Linked DNA regions of Oryzias latipes. The protein of the gene in region 1 interacts with the protein of each later gene in a biochemical or structural test. Links are inferred from orthologs where the notes say so. Each region holds a gene or a part of one and is shown on either strand. Other genes may lie near its edges.

Region 1 (3,636 bases):
CTTTGTCTGGCCACAGTCTGGACCAGGAACAGTAATATATGCTCCCCCCTGGAGGAGGAAACCAGTCGGACTGATGATCCATGCTTTACATGCTTAAGTTAAGAAACGCTCACTGGAAATGACAAGCCCCGAATAAAGCCGATGCTTTCATGCTGAAATGAATTTGGAAGTGAAGAAGTCTCACCTGCTGTTTGGAGTTGTGACCAGGTTCGTCGTCGTGAGCAACCTGTACAGCAAATCCAAGCGAGCGGCCTTCTGTCCAGCAATTAGTGTTTTACATTTACATTTCTCCCAACAGTCACAGTAGGCTGTAGGTGAGGTCCTTTTCAACCTTACGAGAAGGTAAATAAAATATTTAGGACAAAACAATTTATAGCCTGCTGATGGAGACTAAAGGCAGCTATAAATAAGACAGAACAGGGGCAACGACAAATCTAGGACTCACTTGCAGTCATGTCCTTTGTGGCACACTCTTGCACACTCCGTGCAGCAGCAGAGGGACTCCAGCAGGCCACACGTTCGACACTCAAATATGTCCTGAATACAAAATCGGGGTCAAGGAAAATGTCAGTGGGTCAGTTTCAGTGGAAAACGGCACAAATTAAAAATGCAAGACTTTGTGGAGCTAAAAGACGAGGAGCGACCTGGTTAATGTGCTCGGCTCCAGTCCAAGTGAAACTGCAGGTGTCGTTGCAGCAGAGAACGTACAGTGGAGAATCATCTGGGTTGGTACCCGATGGGCAGATCATTTCCATGAACACAGAATCGGCCCCGTCCTTATCTCCAATGGCCGGGTCACCCACTGTGACGTGTGGAGGAGAGAGTCAAACAAGGCGGAAACACCAGACCGATGATGAAGAAAAACCAACGTCCTTTACATCAGTGGTCCCCAACCTCCAGGCCGAAAAGAAAAAGTTCCTTTTTTGGATGATGGAGGACTTGTGTAAAGAAAAATAAGCTCAAAAGTACATTTCTGAGTATTTCTCTATTCAAATCATTGATAAATCAGTAACAGAAAAAAAAAAGTTCATTTGTGACGTAGAAAATATGCTGGGCAGGCCTTAAGATCCCCGCTCCACTCCGCCTTTTTTAGTATTTATCCGTCACACCTGACAAGTTGGCCGAGGCTGAAGGCTGCTCTGTCTGATTTCAATGGTTCCTGCATTAAATCTAGTGAACAAATCAAGCTTAAAGCAGATGTTGACAATTTACAGAGGATCAACTTTACCCTCAAAAGTAAATGGAAACAAGGAAGTTTAAAAAAAAAAACATAGTTCCCACTTCTGCGTCGTTCAGACCGGTCCGGGAAAATATCGTCCGACATTAAACCGATTCGTGGCCTGAAAAAGGTTGGAGACCACTGAGCTAGCTGCTAGAAACAGGGCAGAAAAGTGCATCACAAACATCCACTGGTATGCATACTGCATACCAGTGGATGTTCACAGGTTCACAGCCATGAGCTCACCTTTGGCTATTTTCTGTGCCGCCTCCAGCACCGTGATAGCTGCAGGATAGGCTCTCCCGCTAACAGCCAACATGAACGGAGTCATTCCTCTGGCATCCCTGTCAAACGGTAGAAAAAGCACATCAGAGGCACTGCTAGCTGGCTGTGAGCTGGGCTGCTGCCTGAGCTCCACTGAGGAGGTGGCAGACAGTAGGGTGTTAGCCAAGCTAACCCTGATAAGAGATAACACACACACACCACACCATGGAGACCCAGAGAGGCTCCTTCAGCCAAACATTCATTTCTCCCCTTAGACTGTACAACACTTCACAGGAATAAACTCACCACTCCACAGTGTTTTGCACATTTTTTTTTATCATTCTATGCTTTTTTTTTCACTAAATCCCCAATCTTATTCACTGCTCTCCTTCTTTTCCTGTAACTTCCCATCTTTCTGTTTCTAATGAAGAACAGAACTGTACTTTGCAGAGAGCAGCTCCTGCAGATGTGGCCTCAGAACAACACTGTCGCACATCAGCTTCAGGATGAGGTGGGCATTGGCCTTCCTGTCTTTGGACTCCACCACAGACTGCTCAGTTGATGGTCCTGGACAGACAACAAAAGCAGTTCAAAACCCAAACGGCAAAAACATGCAGCTTTTTTCATAAGGAATGAAATGAAGTTTTCAGTTTTCTTTGACTACTTTCTAGCTAGAAACATCCCGTACCTGCTATGGTGGAGGTGCTGGGCCCCTGGCTGGTTCCAGTGGAGGCCGTGGTGAGTGAGCCAACAGCAGGAGCCAGAATGAAGTCAATGTCACCGTCTGTTGAACAGAAAACAGGACGGTCGTTACCAAAACCGTCACCGTGATCTGAAACTATCAAGGTAAAACCCACACACCGGGGTCCATGGGTGGAGGGTCAGGGACCCAGCTTGGTGGAGCAATGGGTGGGGAGACAGGGTCCTGATGGTCACTGGATGACGGACCAGACTCATGGCGGCCGAGACCTGCCGCCCTCAGAGACCGCCGCATCATCTCCCTCAGTCGAAGCCTGTTTTCAAAATGACGCCTCTTTTTAGTTTTCTTCTATGAATCAAGCTGATGCACAGAAATACATCTTCCATCTTCACTCGACAGCACACGACTTGTTTACGTACCCTCTGCTGCTGGAGGAACCCGTCCTGTTTCCAGAGCTATTGCTCGAGACCACAGAGATGGCGTTGGCGATGGCTTCTACAGCAGACAGACGCTCCGCAAAAGTGTTTCTTTCAGACCTTTCAGCTTCTGAAAAACAATTTGATGACTCAGAACTCCAGTTGAACGAGAAAAGGAAACAACTGCATCACATCTTCTGCAGTAGATTCACCTCTTAAGACCCGGAATCCTGATTGACATGCCTTTGTTTTAATTTCTCTTTGAAAGAGCCCCAGTTGAGCAGAGTTAACTACTGTGGTAATATAACCCCAAATGGTCTGAAGAGGTTCAACATTCAAGTATTTACCTTCCTCTTCTTTGGTCTCCTTGTTACTAACAGGGAAACAGACAGAGACAGCAGCATGGAGGATGTTACGGTTCCCATCACAGCGGTGGCCCAGAAGTGCCTCCAGGGCTTGGCCCCCCTGATCCAAGAGGACGGCCTGCTCAAGGTTGACCAAGTACTGCCGACAAGCTTCGTAGTCGCACCGCAGCACATGCTGCATCAGGGTCTGCTTCTGAAAAGATTAAACCAGCAATCACAATTACAAACTCGTTCTTCGTCACAGAAAAGACTGAATCTGGTCTTTTACCTCAACTGCCATGATAATAACAGCAGCCTTTTTCTTTATGGTGGAGTTAGATGGCAGATTGGCCAAGGAGTGAACCCCCATTCCCAGACAGCTAATGGGAGGGAGGTCCAACCAGTCAGGATCTCGAATTCCACCCATGCAATCTTTAGCCATGGGATAAATCGTGCCATTTCCGTCCCGAAGAACAATGGGAGACTCCTAAGAAGAAAATGAAGCAAACATTTACGCTAACTCGCACCGCTTTTAGGTAAACATCGTGTTTGACTGTTAGAAATGAAGAACTGTTAACCTGTCCTGCAGTGGAGATGGCCACATTGCGCTCACTTTGTCCCAGGAAGGCGAGATTGCTGGTGGGAAAGTTATTCTCCTGCTCTGCTTTGCCTGTAGCCAGGTCAAAGATGCAG
Region 2 (4,291 bases), on another chromosome or scaffold:
ATCACAGTTAAAAGACCACTGGGAACACTTTGAAAGTAGATCTATAGATCAGTGATGAAAGTCAGGCAAGGAAAAAATCCCTGAACTTTTCTTTGAGCGATATGGCGGGCACAGAGCGAAATTTTGGAAAAATACGTGGTCTTAGATGCATTCTGGTGCATTCTGGCAACTAGTTATTCACTTCTTTATCAAGAAACTAAGACTAATTGGAGCATCATGATTTGTCATTCAAACCCCTAGTTTGACTCTCCATTAAGGACTTGCTGGTCCTAAAAAAGAATTTGGAAAATTGCTCAAAGTAACACAATCCTACAATCTACGCTTTTCCTTAAAGCTGCAAAACATACAATTGCTAAAATATAGTAACATCAAAGCCCCAAATGGCAAAAATAACACCAGTAACTATTATATTCTATGAAAATACCTCAGTTATTTATACATTATTTCTGCTTTAGAAATGACTGATGTACAACATCCACTTGCACTGTTTTCTCAAACTATAACTACATCAAAATATGGGATCTGCTTTAAACTATAATTCTATAACATAATACATCAATTCTTTAACACCAATACTAAGTAATCTGGGAAATATCAAAACAAACATACAAACTAAACATTGTAAACATTATTTTTTAAGGGAGTGCGGGTCCAAACCATCAAATACTTATAATTAATGTTAACTATACTGAACTAAATCATGGTAATTAGGAAATACAAATAAATTAGATAAAGAAATGTATTCAAAATAAAAACTGAAACTCAAAACTAAAATTGAAATTATTTCAAAATGTGGTTTTGAGATTATTTTACACAAAAAAGTATTTGACCTACACTACCTTAAAAATCTTTTTTTTCCAGCCAAGACCACTTCAATTTGTTTTTTATCGTCTTCTCACAACTGAGGTCGTGACCACGCTCAATAATGACGATGCCTGCCATTATTTTAACAGAAATTTGATCGCAAACTCTTCAGATGTGTTTGTGAAAATTTAGCGTGGGTCCGCCAGTTTTGGTCTCTAGGGAAGCGAGTCACGCTGACCACGTGGTGCAGACAGAGCCAATCAGACCCGTCGACGCATCCGAAAGCAACTAAAACGTCCCGTCATTGGTCAATTAGGCCGGGAAGACGAAAGATGGCCACGACCATAGAGGAAGCGATCTGCGGAGAAATATAGAAAATAAAGCTAAAATTAGCTGATTTCAGACCATTTTCTAATCCGGAAAGCGATTTGTCCGTAGAGATCAGGTCTTTATTTCCCGGAAAGTACGTTCGGTTTGCTCAAAAACCCGGATTTCCGGGAATTCCCGGAAGACTTTCATCACTGATAGATGAAGGGTTTGTTTTTTTAACGTGATAGTTTTAACTTTAATTTAATTTAAATTTCATTTTGAGTATAAAAAATAGAACTGTAATAACATAGCCACATTTGTTTCATCTTTTTATATTTTTCTTGCATACTTTCTGCACTTTTTTGTTTTGTCCTGATAGTTTCTGAGATTGTGGTTGATGTTTATACTTTAGTTGGTAATCTGTTCAGCTGCTGTTAAAGGGAAGACTCAATTGGAGCAGCAGGCTGACACTTAAGAGTTATTGTTTTAATAAATGACTTTTTTTTAGAGAAACTAGGATGTCTTGAGATGTTTTTTCCATAGTCAAAAGGAGGAGAGGCTGCCATAAGAGTGGTTAGCACAGGGAACACTGAAAATAGATCTAAAGATGATGGGAGAGGGATTTTAACGTTATACGGCCACTGAGCTGCTTGGTTCTGATCCTCTGAGCCTCAGGACCAACACTTAAAACTTCCGTTCGGTGCTGGTTGAGATTCAGGAAGTTCCCTGCCATCCATCAGTGGGTTCCACTAGATCAGGAGACCCAGCAGCATAATGCTGCCTGTGGTCTGATGGCAGCATATAGAGATGGAGGTGAGACCCAGGTCAGAGCCCTGAGGCGCCCCACATATCAACCTGTGCCTTTGGGGTGAATAAAGACATTAAGGTTTTTATCCTTTATCCCAACAAACGTATCCATTTATGAGTTGAGGAGCAAGTTTGAATCAAGAGCACAGCTGTGTGGCAGCTGCTCTCAGAAACATCTGCCAATCAAACACCTGGTTAATGATCCCCTTCCAACCGCAGGTTGATGGAGGTGGAACGCGTTGCTATGGTAACTTGATGCCCCTGTAAAGTGTTGATACTTTAGCCTGAACAATGTGATATTTGCACGGTGGTGATGTGAACAACCCTGTTCCCTTCTAACACAATAAACGCTTTTCCAGACCTGAGCGCTTCCAGAATTCCCGCTGGAGCCGCGTTAGCATCCCGTTAGCATCGCTGCTAGCTCCTACCTGCTCCACGGTGGCCGGGTCCAGGGACTGCAGCCGCGCCGCGTTCTCATACTCGTCCTCGCTGTTGTTTCCAGCTCCGTCCTCTGTGTCCTGGCTAGACCCAACGCTTCCTGGTCCGGTCACCCCGGGCTGGCCTCCCCCAGCCAGAGCCGCTACCACTCCGCCGGAGCAGGTGCCTGCCTGCCGCCGCCGCTTGCTGAGCCCAGGCCCGGAGCAGCAGCTCCCCATTCCTCCACCGCAACCGACGACGCCAGCTGACACGACGAGCTCACCACGGGAGCCGGCCACCATTCCGCCGCTGCCGTCCCGGCCATCGCCCGGCCCTACAGGAGAAACAGAACCGACGGGCGGCGGAGAGGCCTGCTGCGGCCGGGAGCTCGCTTCGATGCTCCGCCTGTCGTCCCTAGAGGACTGCGGAGCGCCCTGGTATGACCACGGCGGAGGTGAAGCCCTGGGTCGGGCGCCGGTTCGCCCCGCGTGCGAGTGCGGATGTTGATGAGGGTCGGAGCCGCTTCGCCGGTCGCTGTCATCGGCGTGGTCCGGGACGCCAACCCCGGAGCTGGGCTTCTTCTTCGGTAGAATTGTCATGGTGGAGTGAGCGTGAAGGCAGCAGGGAGGGGGTCAGAGCTGCGAGTCCTCCCGTTTTCAGTTCAAAGTGTCGGCCTGCTCGCCCTCTGAACCGGCCGTTAGGCTGCAGTCTGTCAGCTAAGAGCCTTAGCGAACCGAAACGAGCCAAAGAAGCGGCCGCTGGGCTTTATTCGACGGCGAGTTCAACAAAAACAAATCGTGTCTCTTCCCGTTCTCCAAAACATCAACACAGCCTGACGGCGCCGCGACGTCACTTCCTGGTTGCGAGGGCACTTTCGACGTCACGTGGTCATAAAACCCCGTTTACACGGAGAGAACAAATTCATCTAGATATTATCTTTCACATCAAAACATAAATTCTCATTAGTATCAGATATGTACCCTCACTTAAACATTGTTGTCTCATAACCTTTTAATTTTACCTAAAATTGTAGGGTAATTTGTTCTTTTAATGGGTTGAAAGTTATAGTTTTCACTTTAATTTAGTAAAAAAAATAGAACTGTTATGTCATAGCTACATTTTTTTCATATTTTCTTGCATAGTTTCTGCACTTTTTTGTTTTTTCCAGATAGTTTCTGAGATTGTGGTTGATTTTTATACTTTTAGATAGAACTCCGTTCCCATCAGCTGCTGTTAAAGGGAATATTTAATTGGAGCAGCAGACCGACACTTATGAGTTATTGTTGTAATTATCACTTTTCTTAAGAGAAACTTGGATGTCTTGAGATGTTTTTTTCATAGTCAAAAGGGGGAGAGGCTGCCATGTGAGCGGTCAAGGGTCAGTGGGGGGGGGGGGGGGGGGTATGTCCCCTCCCAGTGTTCAGCAGAGATGATGTAAGATGAGTCAGTCCAAGTGTGTCTTGTTTCATGGCTGCTTCATTGAGGTGGACTACTGCAGCTGTCATCACACGTCTTTGTGGTGACTGTCTCTGAACATGGAGATCAGACAGATCATTCAGCTGAAGAAGAGATCTAGACTAGAAATAGGATTCTGGAGGCAGCCAGCTTGACTGTTAGAGGCAATGAATTGTGGAGAAGGACATTAAGCAAACATGAGAACACCACGTTTGCTGCACGGTGGCACAGCCCCCAGTGGTAAGTGCCCTCTGGGGGAACCAAAACACCAAAGGGGGACCTTTCTGTGTGGAGTTTGCATGTTCTCCCCGTGCATGCGTGGGTTTTCTCCGGGGACTCCGACTTCCTCCCACCGTCCTAAAACGTGCTTCATAGGTTCATTGGTCACTCTAAATTGTCCCTAGGTCTGAATGTGAGAGTGTGTGGGTGTGTGATTGTGGACACTCTACCCTGCAACAGACTGGCGACCTGTCCAGGGTGCCCCTTGCCTTCACCCACA
Region 3 (4,115 bases), on another chromosome or scaffold:
ACATTTATTTTCAAGTAGTTTAAGAAAAAATAGATTTTTTTACAACTTTTTCTTTGTTATTTCACTTTTTATACAGTACTTTCTGTGCGTTTAGAAAAAACAACGATAATACATGAGGCAGCGAGCGATAGCAAGCAAAAGCCGAACACAAAGGATGCTGGGAAAACAGCCAAAAAACTCATAATAAGTGACACGCCCAAACTGCTAGTTAAGCTGGACTAAACCGGATCAGAATCCAAAGTGGCGTGTCAAAGTGAAAGTGGAGCAGAAAGTGCTCGGAGGGTGGGGCAGCACCTACAGGAGATCTGACAGAACGCAGCCGGAGTTCTGGTTCCCCAGAGAAAAGTGACGCTCCTCTCAGCTGATTTACATTCAGAGCACAAACAAGTGGGAGGGGGGAAACAGGTGGGCGGGAACAACGTAGTGAACTTGAACACGTGCGAGTCGAGCGCTGAACTTTGGCAACACATCAGCTAAAGGTTCGAGTGACGGCTTGAAAAAAACAGCAGACATCTACGTGACATCCCAGTGCGGACTAAGGGGAGGAGGCGGAGCCCCGCTGGGTCACATGGCATGCTTCTGGATGCCCGGGGTGAACTCCTTGGCGTTGGGGTTTAGAATGCTGCTTTTCTGACGAGGGAGCACAGAACAGCTTTAGGCTTAGGAGGCGGGAATCAAAGGTCAAACAGATGTTCTGGTTCCTGATGGGCTGAACTCACCACTGAGTCCAGGATGTCGGCGTTGGGGTGGACGTCCACGTCGAGGACAAGCAGGCCGATCTGCTCCTGCAGCTGGCTAACGCTGGTGGCGGGAAGGTCTCTGGACGGGATGAACCACTCCCACTGCTCCTCCTCCTCCAGCATCTCCTGGAAGCAGCACTCGATGAACTCCTCCTCCCACAGCTCCTCCTCCACCTGCACACAGGTGCAGAAAAACACAGCTTATCCACTCGTCTCTGAAAGTCCACGGTGTCACTCGTGTCCGGAGGTGGAAAGTCCCAATGCGTTTTTTTGGCACGTGTTTTTATCCCGAGTGTCTGCCGATACCAAGTCCTGGTCCAAGACTTCTGTTACACATGAAGAAATGAAGACAGATCCAGGTTTTCCCCGGTCGGTGACTGTGGCTTTAGGATCTTCAGAACTATTTTTGATCAGAAGTGACTGAAATCCACATAAAAAAAGAAGGACAATAAATGAAGTACTTTTTCCCAAACTGTTGTTGAAGCATAAATATTATGATGAGTTTTTATGAATAACTCCTATCAATGCAGCCATTTATTAGTTCTGGCTGTTTTTGAGAGATTATGGAATACTTTTTATTGAAATCACTTTGTAAACCTTCTGCCCGTCTGCCGCACAGAGAAAGACATTCTCATCTGAAATGCATGTGAAGGTCATTGTGTGCAGAATGCAAGAGACACCTGCCGTCATTTTAAAACCTTTACTAAAGGCGTCATTGAGCCCGGAAGTCCACATCTGTGCTAACTTTACCAAACTGTTCTTGGGCGCCTCCTGCTCAAACCACTGCCGTATTCTGCTGCGATAGAATCCCATGATCTGTTCATGATATGCAGACTTCTGGTGTAGAGTATTTACCTGCATGAATAGACTTCAAATAGATAACGTTGGTTCTATGACAAGAATGCTTCATAATAAGAATAAAATAAATATCTCACCCCGGTCGGGATACAACATGCGATTCTGAAACTGCGTGATTGGATTGGGAATTCCCTAAACAGAACTGTGTTTTGTCTCCCGGTCATGTGACTTGGGTGTTTTACCAAAACGAAAAGCATCACATTGTCTCCATCTTTGATGACTGAGTTGTGCAAACAGCCCTCCAGCTCCCATGAAGGTGAAGCTGCTCAGATCAGGCCTCAGGTTGAGTCTACAGGTCCGGACTTTAAACCCAGAGGACAGGTGATGCAGAAGGTCCTGTTCCTCCACAGAGGTTTACCAGTATTGTTCTGCGTTTTCTTTAGTGTTATTTACCCGAGAGTTGTTCATTAAAGACGTTTACCTCCAAGATTCCTCTAGTTCACTCACACTAAACAAATGAAAATACATGAATCTTGTTCAATCTCAACAGAAATAGATCCAGTTCATCTAGTTTCTTACTTCAGAAAAGTCTATGATGGCTTTAGAACACTCTAATTGCTGTGTGTTGTTGTGTATTTGAGTCTATATTAACAGAAATATCTATCAGAAATGGTTTGACTCAGACAGTAGTGGGTTGTTCCACAGAGATGGCAGAGACATAAGGGGTCCCCAACCCAGCAGAGTTAAGGACCCCTGCTTTAACCAGCCCAATGGACTGACCCATTAACCCCTTCTGCCCAACAGGTGGTATGGTGGAGCAAATGAAGCTTCAAACGCTTCACGAGGCTTCATTTTACCCATTTCTAAGCTCCTCAGGATGAGACGTGTAGGCCACATCAGGATCACGCCCCCCTGCACCTCACCTGCCGATTAAACTCCTCCTCGTGCTCCATCCACAGGTACTCCGCGAAAGGCTCCTCATCGGGGCTGAACTGGCTGCTCAGTATGACGTCACTGCCCGAGGTCAGGCTGTGGGTCGTGGTGCCGAAGCTCGGGTCCTTCATGTCTACAGGTCCGGGGGTGGGGGTCTGTGGAAGGTGGAGACCGTTAAGCTGCGTGCAGCAGACACTTATGACGTGATCATGGCCAGCACCGCCTCGAAAACTAAAAAAAACACGACGATTACCGCGATACCACGCGGCTCCACGGTCTCACAGGAGCGTGGACAAATTCACGGAAAGGCGGCAGAGATGCGGCCGACGACGTTTTGAGGAGTTAAATTACCTGCGCAGGTTATTTGATCGACGGCAGAAAACAGAGGCTCGATCTGTAATGGCCGCGCGGCCCTTGTTTGTTTACATGACACGCGTCACTCTGCACTAATTTCTGATTGGTTGAGCTCCGTGCTGCGTTCTGGGTCCGCACGTTGACGGAAGAAAATGTAAACAACAGAGGCAGAGCTTCTGCAGCTTCAGGTTTACGATCTGTTTACAGCAGCCAAGCTGTGAGTTTACATTCTCCCGCGAGAACCACGAGGACCAGTAAACAACAGCTTTTAACCAACACGAACCACACTAAAATATAACGGTAAAAATTAAGTGTAACTAAGAAAAAACGAAAAATAAGTCTAAAGAATTGGCAGAAACACATCTGTTATAAAGTGTTTCCATTATAAGTATAAATTGTAGAATTGTATTATTACAAATATTATCTTAAAGATTTAAGTCCTTCGCATATTTTTCTTAAACATTTTAAACAAAGGCAGATGAGACTGCTGATTTAAGAAATGAGGCTTTGGGAGATTCTGGTGCTGTCTAAAGAAATAACACAGTTGTGGATAAAATGTCACTATGGGGCATTTAGAATAGTACTGAGAGTGCTTCATACTGAAACTACTTCACACGGTGTAGAAATGCTTTCACTGGGTTGGAAGGGCTAATTCCAGAGCTTACCTGAATGCATCATTGAAGTCATGATAGTGCATTTCCGGTGGAAATTTACCGGATTCTGTATCAATGTGGAATATAATTCCACATTTTATATGTTCAGATTTAGGCGGTCACAAACAGGATCTTTTCGCATGGACACTTTTATACAAACACAATTTCTCTCCCCATAAATGTTTTATTTGGAACAACAAATATATATTACACAAGAACAAATCTTTATTAAAGTATACTAAATTCAATTCTAAATACAATCTGGTTGTGACTCCTAAAGAATATGCCATCGTGTTTGATGCTGTTTCCAAAGAAATATGTCAAATGTTTAAAACAGCTGTTAGGAATGAAGAAATGCCCTCTATGGATGCAACTGACACCACCACAGGAAAAATCTGTTTTACTATACACACAAGAACAACAACAACAACAAAATACGTGCCTGGGATGTCATTTCTGTACCAAAAACTACTGCAGCTGGTTTGTTCCTGACAGCATTTGGAGGAAAGGCTGGAGTTTGACCCAAAAAGTTATGATAAATAATAAAATAATTCACAAAATTTACCCCACCAATCAACTCATGCTAAGATACATCAAAACAATTGACCCTAACTGTACTTTTTGCAAAACACAACGA

The links. The genes of interacting proteins can lie anywhere in the genome.
Region 2: the proteins of ubr5 (region 1) and otud5 form a complex in vitro, tested with the Homo sapiens proteins (2 studies listed by BioGRID, with this or other methods). The link is inferred for Oryzias latipes from reciprocal best matches to the Homo sapiens genes UBR5 and OTUD5.
Region 3: the proteins of ubr5 (region 1) and paip2 form a complex in vitro, tested with the Homo sapiens proteins (2 studies listed by BioGRID and IntAct, with this or other methods). The link is inferred for Oryzias latipes from reciprocal best matches to the Homo sapiens genes UBR5 and PAIP2.

The regions. Positions count from the first base shown.
Region 1 is NC_019874.2:6,543,314-6,546,949, forward strand, and holds part of ubr5 (E3 ubiquitin-protein ligase UBR5), read right to left. Parts: coding exon 3,522-3,636; intron 3,431-3,521; coding exon 3,233-3,430; intron 3,158-3,232; coding exon 2,947-3,157; intron 2,730-2,946; coding exon 2,603-2,729; intron 2,497-2,602; coding exon 2,345-2,496; intron 2,268-2,344; coding exon 2,172-2,267; intron 2,051-2,171; coding exon 1,927-2,050; intron 1,564-1,926; coding exon 1,466-1,563; intron 803-1,465; coding exon 645-802; intron 538-644; coding exon 446-537; intron 332-445; coding exon 185-331; intron 49-184; coding exon 1-48. UniProt on the Homo sapiens protein: E3 ubiquitin-protein ligase involved in different protein quality control pathways in the cytoplasm and nucleus. Mainly acts as a ubiquitin chain elongator that extends pre-ubiquitinated substrates.
Region 2 is NC_019865.2:31,789,701-31,793,991, reverse strand, and holds the start of otud5 (OTU domain-containing protein 5), read right to left. Parts: upstream 2,937-4,291; coding exon 2,349-2,936; intron 1-2,348. UniProt on the Homo sapiens protein: Deubiquitinating enzyme that functions as a negative regulator of the innate immune system. Has peptidase activity towards 'Lys-48'- and 'Lys-63'-linked polyubiquitin chains. Can also cleave 'Lys-11'-linked ubiquitin chains (in vitro).
Region 3 is NC_019868.2:3,409,835-3,413,949, forward strand, and holds the start of paip2 (polyadenylate-binding protein-interacting protein 2), read right to left. Parts: upstream 2,937-4,115; 5' UTR 2,823-2,936; intron 2,627-2,822; 5' UTR 2,603-2,626; coding exon 2,462-2,602; intron 915-2,461; coding exon 720-914; intron 631-719; coding exon 565-630; 3' UTR 1-564. UniProt on the Homo sapiens protein: Acts as a repressor in the regulation of translation initiation of poly(A)-containing mRNAs. Its inhibitory activity on translation is mediated via its action on PABPC1.